Callithrix jacchus: one gene and its partners. The protein of the gene in region 1 binds, or shares a complex with, the protein of each later gene. Links are inferred from orthologs where the notes say so. Each region holds a gene or a part of one and is shown on either strand. Other genes may lie near its edges.

Region 1 (3,649 bases):
TGCAGCACCTCTGGGGTGAGTTCCTGCTCCACCTTGGCCAGGCTCTTCTCAGGCTTGGGTAGGATGAGCACCATGGTGATGTCATCACCCTTGAAGGGCAACTCAAGCACCTGGGTGCCTTCAGCCACACGCCGATAACGGAACTTGCCTTCCTGGTACATCATAGACACTGAACACGACTCTTCATCAGCCTTGTAGAACAGTTCCTTCCTTGTGTTCTCAGGGCTGAACTTTGACTTCCACAGGCCCTGGAAGAGAACACCAGGTGAGAGAATCACAAAGTGACAACAAGAACATCTATAGGAGGATATTTACTGATACAAGGCATTCATATTATAGTATGACATTAATAGATAAGTACAATTATTAGGAAAAAAGACTGGAGGGATATGCACAAAAAGGTTAATAATGACTATGTCAGAACGATGGACTATGAATAGGTTTTTCTCTGTGTACTTTTCTGTATTTCCCCAGATTTTCAGCCGTATTTGCTTCTATAATCAGAAAGATAAAAAACAAAACCAAGAACAATGTACAAGCCTCTCTGCAAATCTCTTCTTGAGTTTAAGTCTAATTGCCTTGTGCTGTCTGCCTTTCACCAACCTCTTTTCTTTTTCTTTTCTCTTTTTTTTTTTTTTTTGAGACCAAGTTTTGCTCTTGTTGCCCAGGCCGGAGTGCAATGGCACGATCTCAGCTCACTGCAACCTCCACCCACCGGGTTCAAGCAATTCTCCTGCCTCAGCTCCCAAGTTGCTTGGATTGCAGGCACCCGCCACCATGCCCGGCTAATTTTTGTATTTGTAGAGACGGGGTTTCACCATGTGGGCCAGGCTTGTCTCAAACTCCTAACTTCAGTTGATCCACCTGCCTTAGCTTCGCAAAGGGCTGGGATTACAGGCCTGAGTCCCCAGACCTCTTTTCTAAGGGTCAACCTCAAAAGTCCTAGGCTCTGCCAGACACAGACATAGATAACAAGCAGAGGATGCGTCCTGACTGACTTCTTCAAACTGGGAGGGACCCTGAGATAGAAGAGACACTTTCGAAAATTGTGATTCTTGGCCAGGCGCGGTGGCTCACACCTGTAATCCCAGCACTTTGGGAGGCCAAGGCGGGTGGATCACAAGGTCAAGAGATCGAGACCATCCTGGTCAACATGGTGAAACCCAGTCTCTACTAAAAATACAAAAATTAGCTGGGCATGGTGGCGTGTGCCTGTAATCCCAGCTACTCGTGAGGCTGAGGCATAAATTGCTTAAACCCCGGAGGCGGAGGTTGCAGTGAGCCGAGATCACGCCATTGCACTCCAGCCTGGGTAACAAGAGCGAAACTCCGTCTCAAAAAACGAAAATTGTGATTCTTGGTTTAGCACCAAGGATCAAAAAAAATAAAAAATAAAATTGCGATTCTTATCACTTTCTAGCTCTTTGATTTGGAAACAGGCCATTTAACTCTTCTTTTTTGGTGGCGGACAAGGTCTCACTCTGTGTCCCGTGTTGGAGTGATGCAGTGGCAAGCTCATGGCTCATTGCAGCCTCAACCTCCCAGGCTCAAGCTATCATCCCACCTCAGCTTCCCAGGCGGCTAAGACTACAGGAGTGTACTACCATGTCTGGCTAACTTTCATTTTTTGTAAATACAGGATCTCCCTGTGCTGCACAGGCTGGTCTTGAACTTCTGTGCTTGAGTGATCCTCCTGCCTCAGCCTCCCAAAGTTCTGGGATCACAAGTGTGATCACCCTGCCTGGCCCATTTAAATCTTCTGAGTGGTGGTTTCTCATCTGTAAACTAGGAGCTGGTGATAGCTGATGCTTATAGAATGCTTACTGTGTGCCAGGCACTGTTCTAAGCATTTTGCATGCATTAACTTTCACCTTGTTTACTTGCAGTAACTACCTCAGTACCCCTATATGGTAGATGTATCATTATTATCATATAATAGATGCAGAAATTGGAGCATAGAAAGGTCTCAGGTAGGCCGGGCACGGTGGCTCACGCCTGTAATCCCAGCACTTTGGAAGGCCGAGGCGGGTGGATTACAAGGTCAGGCGTTCAAGACCAGCCTGACCAACATGGTGAAACCCTGTCTCTACTAAAAATACAAAAATTAGCCAGATATGGTGGCGTGCGCCTGTAATCCCAGCTACCTGGGAGGCTGAGGCAGGAGAATTGCTTGAACCTGGAAGGCAGAGGTTGCAGAGAGTGAGATTATGCCACTGCACTCCAGCCTGGACAACAGAGTGAGACTCTGTCTCAAAAAAAGAAAAAGAAAGGGGCCGGGCGCGGTGGCTCACGCCTGTAATCCCAGCACTTTGGGAGGCCGAGGAGGGTGGATCACGAGGTCAAGAGATCAAGACCATCCTGGTCAACATGGTGAAACCCTGTCTCTACTAAAAATACAAAAAATTAGCTGGGCATGGTGGCACGTGCCTGTAATCCCAGCTACTCAGGAGGCTGAGGCAGGAGAATTGCCTGAACCCAGGAGGCGGAGGTTCTGGTGAGCCGATATCGCGCCATTGCACTCCAGCCTGGGTAACAAAAGCGAAACTCCGTCTCGAAAAAAAAAAAGAAAGGGAAAAAAAGGTGAAGAATATAAAAATAGCTGGGCGAGGTGGCTCATGCCTGTAATCCCAGCACTTTGGGAGGCCGAGGTGCGCAGATCATGCGGTCAGGAGTTTGAGACCAGTCTGGACAACATAGTGAAACTCCATCTTTACTAAAAATACAAAAAATTAGATGGGTGTGGTGGTATGCGCCTATAATCTCAGCTACTCCGGAGGCTGAGGCAGGAGAATCAACCTCCCCGTGAACGCGGGAAGCAGAGGTTGCAGCGAGCTGAGATCACACCATTGCACTCCAGCCTGGGTGACAGTGCAAGACTCCATCTCAAAAATAATAAAAAAAGGAATATAAAAATAAATTTTCAAAAATAAGATTTGGGCAAAGGGAAATTTGAGTCATTGTAGAAGCTGCTTCAGATGATGGGGAAAAATCGCAGCACTGAAGACTGTTAACACATTGACTCTGTCATTTTCTTCCAGATTTCAAAATGGAGTTAACTAGACAGCAGAATCACATATATATGAGATTTTGTCACTGTGCACACCTTGCAATGGGATGTGATGGGTTTGTTTGTGTGCCCACTCTGCCATCAGCCTAGGGACACTACCACACCTCCCTGTACAGTAGCCCAGCAGCCATAGTTCAAAAGATTCTGGGCTCTCAGCAAATGCATTTGTCTTCCCAGATCATGCATGGACCATTTCTCAGAAAGGATCTACACATGCCCAGTAGTGTGAAAGAGGGTAAGCTGGCCACGCGTGATGGTTCATGCCTGTAATCCCAGCACTTTGGGAGGCCAAGGCAAGAGGACTGCTTGAGCCCACGAGTTCAAGACCAGCCTGGGCAACATACAAAAAATTTAAAAATCAGCCTGGTATAGTGGCGTGCACCTGTAGTCCCAGCTACTTGGAAGGCTGAGGCGGGAGGACTATTGGAGCCTGGGAGCTCAAGGCTGCAGTGAGCTGTGACTGTGCCACTGCACTCCAGCCTGGGTGACAGAGTGGGATTCTGTATTAAAAAATAAAAATGAAAATAAATGGAGGCAAGGAGGAAATAAGGGTAGGGACAAGGAGGCAGAGGCAGGACTTTT
Region 2 (3,649 bases), on another chromosome or scaffold:
CCGTCTCTATTAAAATACAAAAAATTAGCAGGGGGTGGTGACACACGCTTGTAATCCCAGCTACTTAGAAGGCTGAGGTGGGAGAATTGCTTGAACCCAGGAGGCAGAGGTTGCAGTAAGCCAAGATTGTGCCACTGAGTTCCAGCCTGAGTGACAGAGCAAGACTCCGTCTCTAAAACAACAACAAATAAATAAATACATAAACAAATAAAGTGATTGCAACAAAAGTTCTGTTCAAGGCACCGAGAGAACACAGGAAAATGAGTGTCTGGTTTGCCAGAAGAATGAGAGACAGCTTCCCAGGAGAGGCAGAGTTCTGCCTGGCCTGGGGGGATGCCCAGATGAACAAACAAGAGGGCATTCCGGGCAGAAAAAGCCCGTGGAAAGACCCAGAGGCACGAGGAGCCAAGCTAGCAGGGACAGGTAGACCGGGGCCAGATGAAAAGGACCTTGGTCACTTTTTCATCCCGCTGGCCAAGAGAAGCCACTGAATGGAAGTTCCCTGAGGGCAGGGCTGTAACTGTCCTATTTGTCGTGCTGAGCACCCAACAGTGCCTGTCACATGGTGAGCACTCAGCAAATACTTGGAGGCCACTGTTGAGTGAATGGGAGAACTGCAGGATGGAGAGGAAGAGGAGCTGGGTGAATGCAGGTTAAGGATTGTGGACCACTGTGAGCTTGGAGGCAGGGACAGACACAACTTTGCTGGGAGAGAGGAAATAAGTCCCCAGGCTCCAAGGCTGACCGGGGTGGGGTCCCCACAGGTAACTGTGCGGAGGGTCTGGGTACGAACTACCGAGGGCATGTGAACGTCACCGCATCAGGCATCGAGTGCCAGCTATGGAGGAGTCGCTACCCACATAAGCCTGAGTGAGTGATGAGCCGGCCTTCCCACCAAGGGCTGAGAACAGGGAGCAGGGACACCCCGTGGGCCATAGCCTCCTACTGGGAAATTTCCTGTTCCAGAATCAACACCACCACCCATCCCGAGACCGACCTGCAGGAGAATTTCTGCCGCAACCCTGACAGCAGCACCATGGGACCTTGGTGCTACACAACCGACCCCACCGTGCGGAGGGAGGAATGCAGCATCCCTGTCTGTGGTGAGCTGGGGGCAATGAGGCAGCCCACAGCCAAGGCCCGGGGGCTTCCTGGGGCCTGGCAGCCTGGGATGGCAACCAAGATGCCTGGCTACCTGGGTGCAGTGGCTCATGCCTGTAATCCTAACACTTTGGGAGACTGAGGTTGGCAGATCACCTGAGGTCAGGAGTTCGAGACCAGCTTGGCCAACATGACAAAACCCTATCTCTACTAAAAATACAAAACTAGCCAGGTGTGGTGGTAGGCACCTGTAATCCCAGCTACTCAGGAGGCTGAGGCAGGAGAATCACTTGAACCTGGAAGGCAGAGGTTGCAGTGAGCTGAGATCATGCCACTGCACTTAAGTCTGAGCAACAAGAATGAAACTCCTTAAAAAAAAAAAAAGATGCCAGCTACCTTCAGAGCTGGCCTCAGTCATTCATATCATATCTATGTCTATTGCACAGTGAAGTCAGGGAATCAGAGATCTGCCAGCTTCCTTCTTCCCCTCCCCACTCTTGACTTCCTGATGGTCCAGGCCGTGGCTCATTCCAAACATGCCTCCTTTCTGATCAAGGCACTCCTCCCTCCAAGAAGCCCTCCCTAGCCACTTCAGTCCACATGCTCTGTTCTGAGTATCACAGAGCAAGCCTCGTGCCCTGAGAGTTGGCGGGCGTGGTGCTGCTGATCTCAGCTGCACTCGCTGACGAATCCGTAGGGTCAATTCACGGAGGCTGGCCATGGCTGGGTGGCTCTGATTCAAACAATGGTTCCAGCTGAGCCTGGCTCCTCATTGAGGGTTGGGCCTAGATCTGCTCCACGTGTGTTCTTGCTGGGGCTGAGACAAAAAGACAGCAGGTAACTGGGAAGACTTTTCTTAGCTGATGGCAGACACAGAAAACAACAAACAGGAAAGGTCATCTGTTCTGAAGACCTAGGCTCCGAACAGGTACAGTCAGCCCCGCCCGCGTTCCACTGACCAGAAGTCTATGTTCAAGGCCAGAGTCGAGAATTGAACTACACCTCAGCCTGTGAAATCACAGCAACGGATGGGGATGCAGGCAGGGGTAAAGAATTAGTGCTGGTTACCAGTCCACAAACATGCGTTCGTGTTCTTTGTTTTCTAAGCATCCCTGTTGGGCCCATTGCTTGTTCCTGGGGTCAGTTTTTTTTTCTTTTTGAAACAGTCTCACTCTGTCATCCAGGCTGGAGTGCAATGGCACAATCTTGTCTCACTGCAACCTCCCCCTCCTGGGTACAAGCAATTCTCCTGCCTCAGCCTCCCATGTAGCTGGGACTATAGGCACACGCCACCACGCCTGGCTAATTTTTTGTATATTTAGTAGAGAGAGGGTTTCTCCATGTTGGTCAGGCTGGTCTCAAACTCCTGACCTCAGGTGATCCGCCCGTCTTGGGCTCCCAAAGCCAGGAATGAGTCACCGCCTGGCTCCTGCGATTGGATTTATAGCAAGTTCATCCTAACGAAAAAGGCTACCATTTACCCCCCAACTCCCATATGCACACACACACACACACACACACACACTGATGATAAATAAGTTTCAGGCTTGCAGAAATTGACCTACTCTCCAGGTGAACATCTTAGTGATCCCAGCAAGCTTCCTGCTGTGCCCTATAAAAACACAGACTCAGGCCGGGTGCGGTGGCTCACGCCTGTAATCCCAGCACTTTGGGAGGCCGAGGTGGATGGATCACGAGGTCAAGAGATCAAGACCATCCTGGTCAACAAGGTGAAACCCCGTCTCTACTGAAAATACAAAAATTAGCTGGGCATGGTGGCGCACGCCTGTAGTCCCAGCTACTCGGGAGGCTGAGGCAGGAGAATTGCTTGAATCCAGGAGGCAGAGGTTGTGGTGAACCGAGATCGTGCCATTGCACTCCAGTCTGGGTAACAACAGCGAAACTCCGTCTCAAAAAAAACAAAAAAACAAAAAAACACAGACTCCTCCAGCAGCTCCAGGCAGCCACTATCAGCTGACTACAGATAACCCAAGAGGCCAGTGGAATGTGAGTGGGGCTGACTGTGCCTGTTCTGGGCCTAGGCCTTCAGGACACATGACGCTTTTCTGTTCCTTGTTTTCTGTGTCTGCCATCAGCATAAGAGTTTTCCCAGTTGCCTGCGGCAGCCTTCAGACAGTCACTACCAGCTGACCACAGGTAGCCCAGGAGGCCAAACCTGGTTACTATCTCTGGTTTATTCTGTGCCAGACACTTAATGCTGTATATTTTAATTCTCTCAACAAGCCTGCTAGAGTGGCGTTGATAACGCCTTTAAAGGCAGACAAACAGAAGCCCAGAGAGGTTAAGTAACCTCAGGCCATGCAGGCAGAAAGCAGCAAGATCGGGGTTCACATCCCTGTCTGTTCCGGTCCATGTGTGGTCTCACACATACTGCCTCCTCCTTCCTCACACACCAGGTGAGGATCGAGTCACTGTAGCGATGACTCCACGCTCCAGAGGCTCCGGGGGAAATCTGTCACCTCCATCGGAGTGGTGTGTCCCCGATCGGGGGCGGCAGTACCAGGGGCGCCTGGCAGTGACCGCAAGT
Region 3 (3,649 bases), on another chromosome or scaffold:
AAAACTGGAAACAAGCCAAATATCAATTAACAGTAGAATGAATAAATAAAAGCTGGAATCGTAATGCAATGGAATATGACACAGCAATGTAAATGAACTACTGCTACACAAAACAACATGGATTAATCTCACAGACAAAATGTTAAATGAAAGACACAGAGGAGTACATATTGTGAACTTCTATTTGTAGTTCAAGAACTGACAAGAACTATTTAATGTGTTAGAAGTCCAGGTAATGGTAACCTATAAAAAGGAAAAAGGGTGAAATGATCAGGCGAGGGCATCTTCTGGGGTACTGATAATGTGCTATGTGTTTGTCAGTTTAGTGTTTACACAGGCTCATTTACTTCATGAAAACTTATACTAAAGTTGTGTGTACTTTTCTGAACATGTTATACATTAATAAATAGCATTTTTAAACCTGTAGTCCATGATTTAGTGAAAGTAGAATATGCAAACATTTCGTTTTAAACCAATCAGTTATAGTGCTACCACCATTTTTATGCCTTATTTTACCTTTGTTTTCACTCTTAGTTCAAGGCTCCAAAATTTCTCTCCATGAATGCCCCCAACATATATTTGACCCATACATGAATCAATAGTTCCATGTACTTTTTAGAAATGCATGTTTAATGATGCTGTTACTGTCTATTTTGCTTCTTTTAGATGCATCATGTAGCATTAAGAACGGCAGATGCACGCAGTTTTGTAAATTTAGTGCTGATCACAAGGTGGTTTGTTCCTGTACCGAGGGATATCAACTTGCAGAAAACCAGAAGTCCTGTGAACCAGCAGGTCATAATCCAAATAAGACTTTTTTAAAGAAAATATTTATCTGAACCTTCAGCATTTTAACAAAACTACATAATTTTAATTCCTACTTAAATCTGCTTCCTTTTGAAATCATATAAAAGATCAGTAGCTTGAATTAGACAAATTTTCTAAATTGCATATTTTAAATATAAACTATGTAATCATCTCCAGCCTGAATTCTTTTCTGTGTCCAATCTTTTTCTCTAACACTTATATAACAAAGCAATTAATTTGTGTGATTTCTGCACATATATTTGTAATTCATCAAGTCAAATCAATGTAGTAAGACTACATCATAAAATACACAAAAATGATTGAGTGATAGGCTTCTGGTACAAGGATGGTGAATTTGAAGCATGATTCTATTTGGGCTGGCTAGTTTACTGTGAGAAAGTTATTTTTTTATTGTTGGGTCTCAAGCCAAATTTACACACATGGTGTCAGAATGATTCCAGCCATGAACTGTTTTAAGTTCTGCTAGGCTGATCAGTACAATCTATATGGCAGAGGACAAAGCAATGTTTCCCAGTCATATCAACCATGCCACCATTTTACCAGCTGATTAGTGTATTCGGAACATCTCCACTCCATGTTCGTATGGCTCCTCTCTCAAAATGAAAGCAGTAGACACTTTTACTTTTTAAAAAATTTAGGCTCTACAGGGTCAAATGTATTTGAAAATTAGGGGTCTCTTTGAAGCAAACTGGATATAATTTCTTTTGCATTTCCAAAGCCTGATATCTTATTAAATTGGTACATTAAATAATGTACCATTTCTCTATAACTGGTTCCAATACCTATCTCAGCATAACACTAGGCAGAGGAAATTAAAGAAAGAAACAGAAGCCCGGAATATATATCCTGCAACTAAAATGAGGCGTGTCTAAGGCTTCAGGACCTGCCCAGTTGTCCTTCTGCCTGGCTCTTCAAATACACCATCTCAAAGCTAGTCTACCTTGAGAGGAGCATGAATCTGGGCGTGGGTGTGTGCCTGTGTGTGTATTTTAACCTTAAAAACCTAACTTCCAGTATAGACAGATGCTATAGTAGCTAAACCCTTACCAGCTCTTCCATGCTATAAAAGAGAAACAGAATTGAGAACCACCTCCAATTTATTAAGTGTTACATTTGAATATAGCCTTAGCTGTAGCAGAATAAGTAGGCCAAACTTAAAATAAGCTTTTCTGCCTTTTCAACAATAATGGTCCCTTTGCTCCAGCCATTGTTGATCATGTATATTTATACATAAGTATTTTAAAATAATTTCCTGTTTTCTCAACCACTTGCTGTCTTCATGATACTTTGTCGCAGCTGGTTGCTATAGAAATATCTGTTACAAAGAATGTGGCTTGAAGGAAAGTGAGAAATGAAAATGAAACGTGAGGTAACTTTGTTTTACTACAAATTCCATCTGGTAGTCCCCAGTGTATTAACAGATTATTTTTCTTTAGAAAATAAATCAACCCAAGGAAAAATGGTGGGCAGGTCCTGGTGAATATGGCTGTGATAATCATATCAGGAATCTCTTTGGATAATATTTAAAAGCCAGGCAATTGAATCACAATTCTCTCTCCCCAGAAAATACCTAAAATGCACCTTGGAATCTAGGCATTTTAGTCTGCAAAATAAACCCTCTTAATGATAAGCAGAAGTCCCATTTACTGAATTGGAAAGTTAAAGTTACAAGGCATCAATCACCAGACTTCCATTCAGGGATGGCACTGGGAGTAAGATTTTTTAGTAAAGAAACTAAACAGAAAGTCATTAGACTCTATAAAAGTCTTACCAAATTTGATTCTGGAATCCTATTCTATTTCCGTAAAGATGATGAATTCCGGAGCCAAATGTTCTTTTCATGAAGGATTTGAAAACTTTCCACGAAAATAATTCAATCAACCTTTTAGCTTGAGACTTTATTCACTGATTAGATTTTGAAAAATACTGATGGGCCTGCTTCTCAGAAGTAACAAGGATGGGCCTCAATCTCAATTTGTGTAATGCATGTTACATTTACCAATGAGAAATATCAGAATACTAATTTTTTTCTTCTATTTTTCTAGTGCCATTTCCATGTGGAAGAGTTTCTGCTTTACAAACTTCTAAGCTCACCCGTTCTGAGACTGTTTTTCCTGATGTGTACAATGAAAATTCTACTGAAGTTGAACCCATTTTGGATAATGTCACTCAAAGCACCCAATCATTTGATGACGTCACTCGAGTTGTTGGTGGAGAAGACGCCAATCCAGGTCAATTCCCTTGGCAGGTACTTTATACTGATGATATGCCAAAACTGGAGCTCAGCTGGCAAGACACAGGCCAAGTGGTAGACTGAGGCTAGTTTACTAGACAGACCTATTGGGATGTGAGAAATATTTAGGCAAGTTTCAGCACTAACCAATGTGAGAAAGCCTCCAGAGATGAACAGCTGGTAAAAGAGAGGTCCAAAAGTAACTACTATACAGATCAAGAAGAATTTGCCATTAAGGAAACAGCATAGCAGAATTCCAGACAGGCAACTGGTTAGCAACATGAAGGTCTGGAAGAAAGGTTACAGGTACTCAGGTTCAGGGTACTACTTCAGCTTCAGCTTTTGCAAAGTTGGAAAGACTTTAGGCCCAGAGAAATTGGATTATTTTAAAGGGGGCAAAGAAAGGGACTCAAGGAGTAAGGATTAAGGCAAGAATTAGGTTCCAAGAAACAGGGTATGAGAGTCTTTGTCTACAGCTATGGTTCTCAAAGTATAGTAGCATCAGAATCACCTGGGAACTTTGAAATGCAAATTCTCATACTCCACCCTAGACCTACCAAATCAGAATATCTAGGGGGTGGGGCCCAG

What was found.
Region 2: the proteins of SERPINC1 (region 1) and F2 are in contact, whole or in part, in a crystal structure (PDB 1TB6), measured with the Homo sapiens proteins. The link is inferred for Callithrix jacchus from reciprocal best matches to the Homo sapiens genes SERPINC1 and F2. Residues at the interface, in NP_000479.1 of Homo sapiens: Lys258, Glu264, Asn265, Arg267, Tyr285, Glu287, Gly288, Lys289, Glu345, Met347, His351, Ala419, Val420, Val421, Ile422, Ala423, Gly424, Arg425, Ser426, Leu427, Asn428, Pro429, Asn430, Arg431, Val432, Lys435; in NP_000497.1 of Homo sapiens: Leu389, Leu390, Cys391, His406, Cys407, Tyr410, Pro412, Trp413, Asp414, Lys415, Trp455, Arg456, Glu457, Asn458, Leu459, Asn506, Thr510, Trp511, Thr512, Ala513, Asn514, Val515, Gln519, Arg541, Ile542, Asp562, Ala563, Cys564, Glu565, Gly566.
Region 3: the proteins of SERPINC1 (region 1) and F9 are in contact, whole or in part, in a crystal structure (PDB 3KCG), measured with the Homo sapiens proteins. The link is inferred for Callithrix jacchus from reciprocal best matches to the Homo sapiens genes SERPINC1 and F9. Residues at the interface, in NP_000479.1 of Homo sapiens: Glu264, Asn265, Arg267, Glu269, Met283, Met284, Tyr285, Glu287, Met347, Val349, His351, Val420, Val421, Ile422, Ala423, Gly424, Arg425, Ser426, Leu427, Asn428, Pro429, Asn430, Arg431; in NP_000124.1 of Homo sapiens: Lys247, Val248, Asp249, Ala250, Phe251, Cys252, His267, Cys268, Glu270, Glu285, Tyr312, Arg358, Phe360, Lys362, Gly363, Arg364, Ser365, Leu367, Lys387, Phe388, Asp405, Ser406, Cys407, Gln408, Gly409, Asp410, Ile429, Ser430, Trp431, Gly432.

Annotation. Positions count from the first base shown.
Region 1 is NC_133519.1:29,149,167-29,152,815, reverse strand, and holds part of SERPINC1 (antithrombin-III), read right to left. Parts: intron 249-3,649; coding exon 1-248. UniProt on the Homo sapiens protein: Most important serine protease inhibitor in plasma that regulates the blood coagulation cascade. AT-III inhibits thrombin, matriptase-3/TMPRSS7, as well as factors IXa, Xa and XIa. Its inhibitory activity is greatly enhanced in the presence of heparin.
Region 2 is NC_133511.1:111,771,970-111,775,618, forward strand, and holds part of F2 (prothrombin), read left to right. Parts: intron 1-764; coding exon 765-870; intron 871-966; coding exon 967-1,103; intron 1,104-3,518; coding exon 3,519-3,649. UniProt on the Homo sapiens protein: Thrombin, which cleaves bonds after Arg and Lys, converts fibrinogen to fibrin and activates factors V, VII, VIII, XIII, and, in complex with thrombomodulin, protein C. Functions in blood homeostasis, inflammation and wound healing.
Region 3 is NC_133524.1:136,311,509-136,315,157, forward strand, and holds part of F9 (coagulation factor IX), read left to right. Parts: intron 1-666; coding exon 667-795; intron 796-2,873; coding exon 2,874-3,076; intron 3,077-3,649. UniProt on the Homo sapiens protein: Factor IX is a vitamin K-dependent plasma protein that participates in the intrinsic pathway of blood coagulation by converting factor X to its active form in the presence of Ca(2+) ions, phospholipids, and factor VIIIa.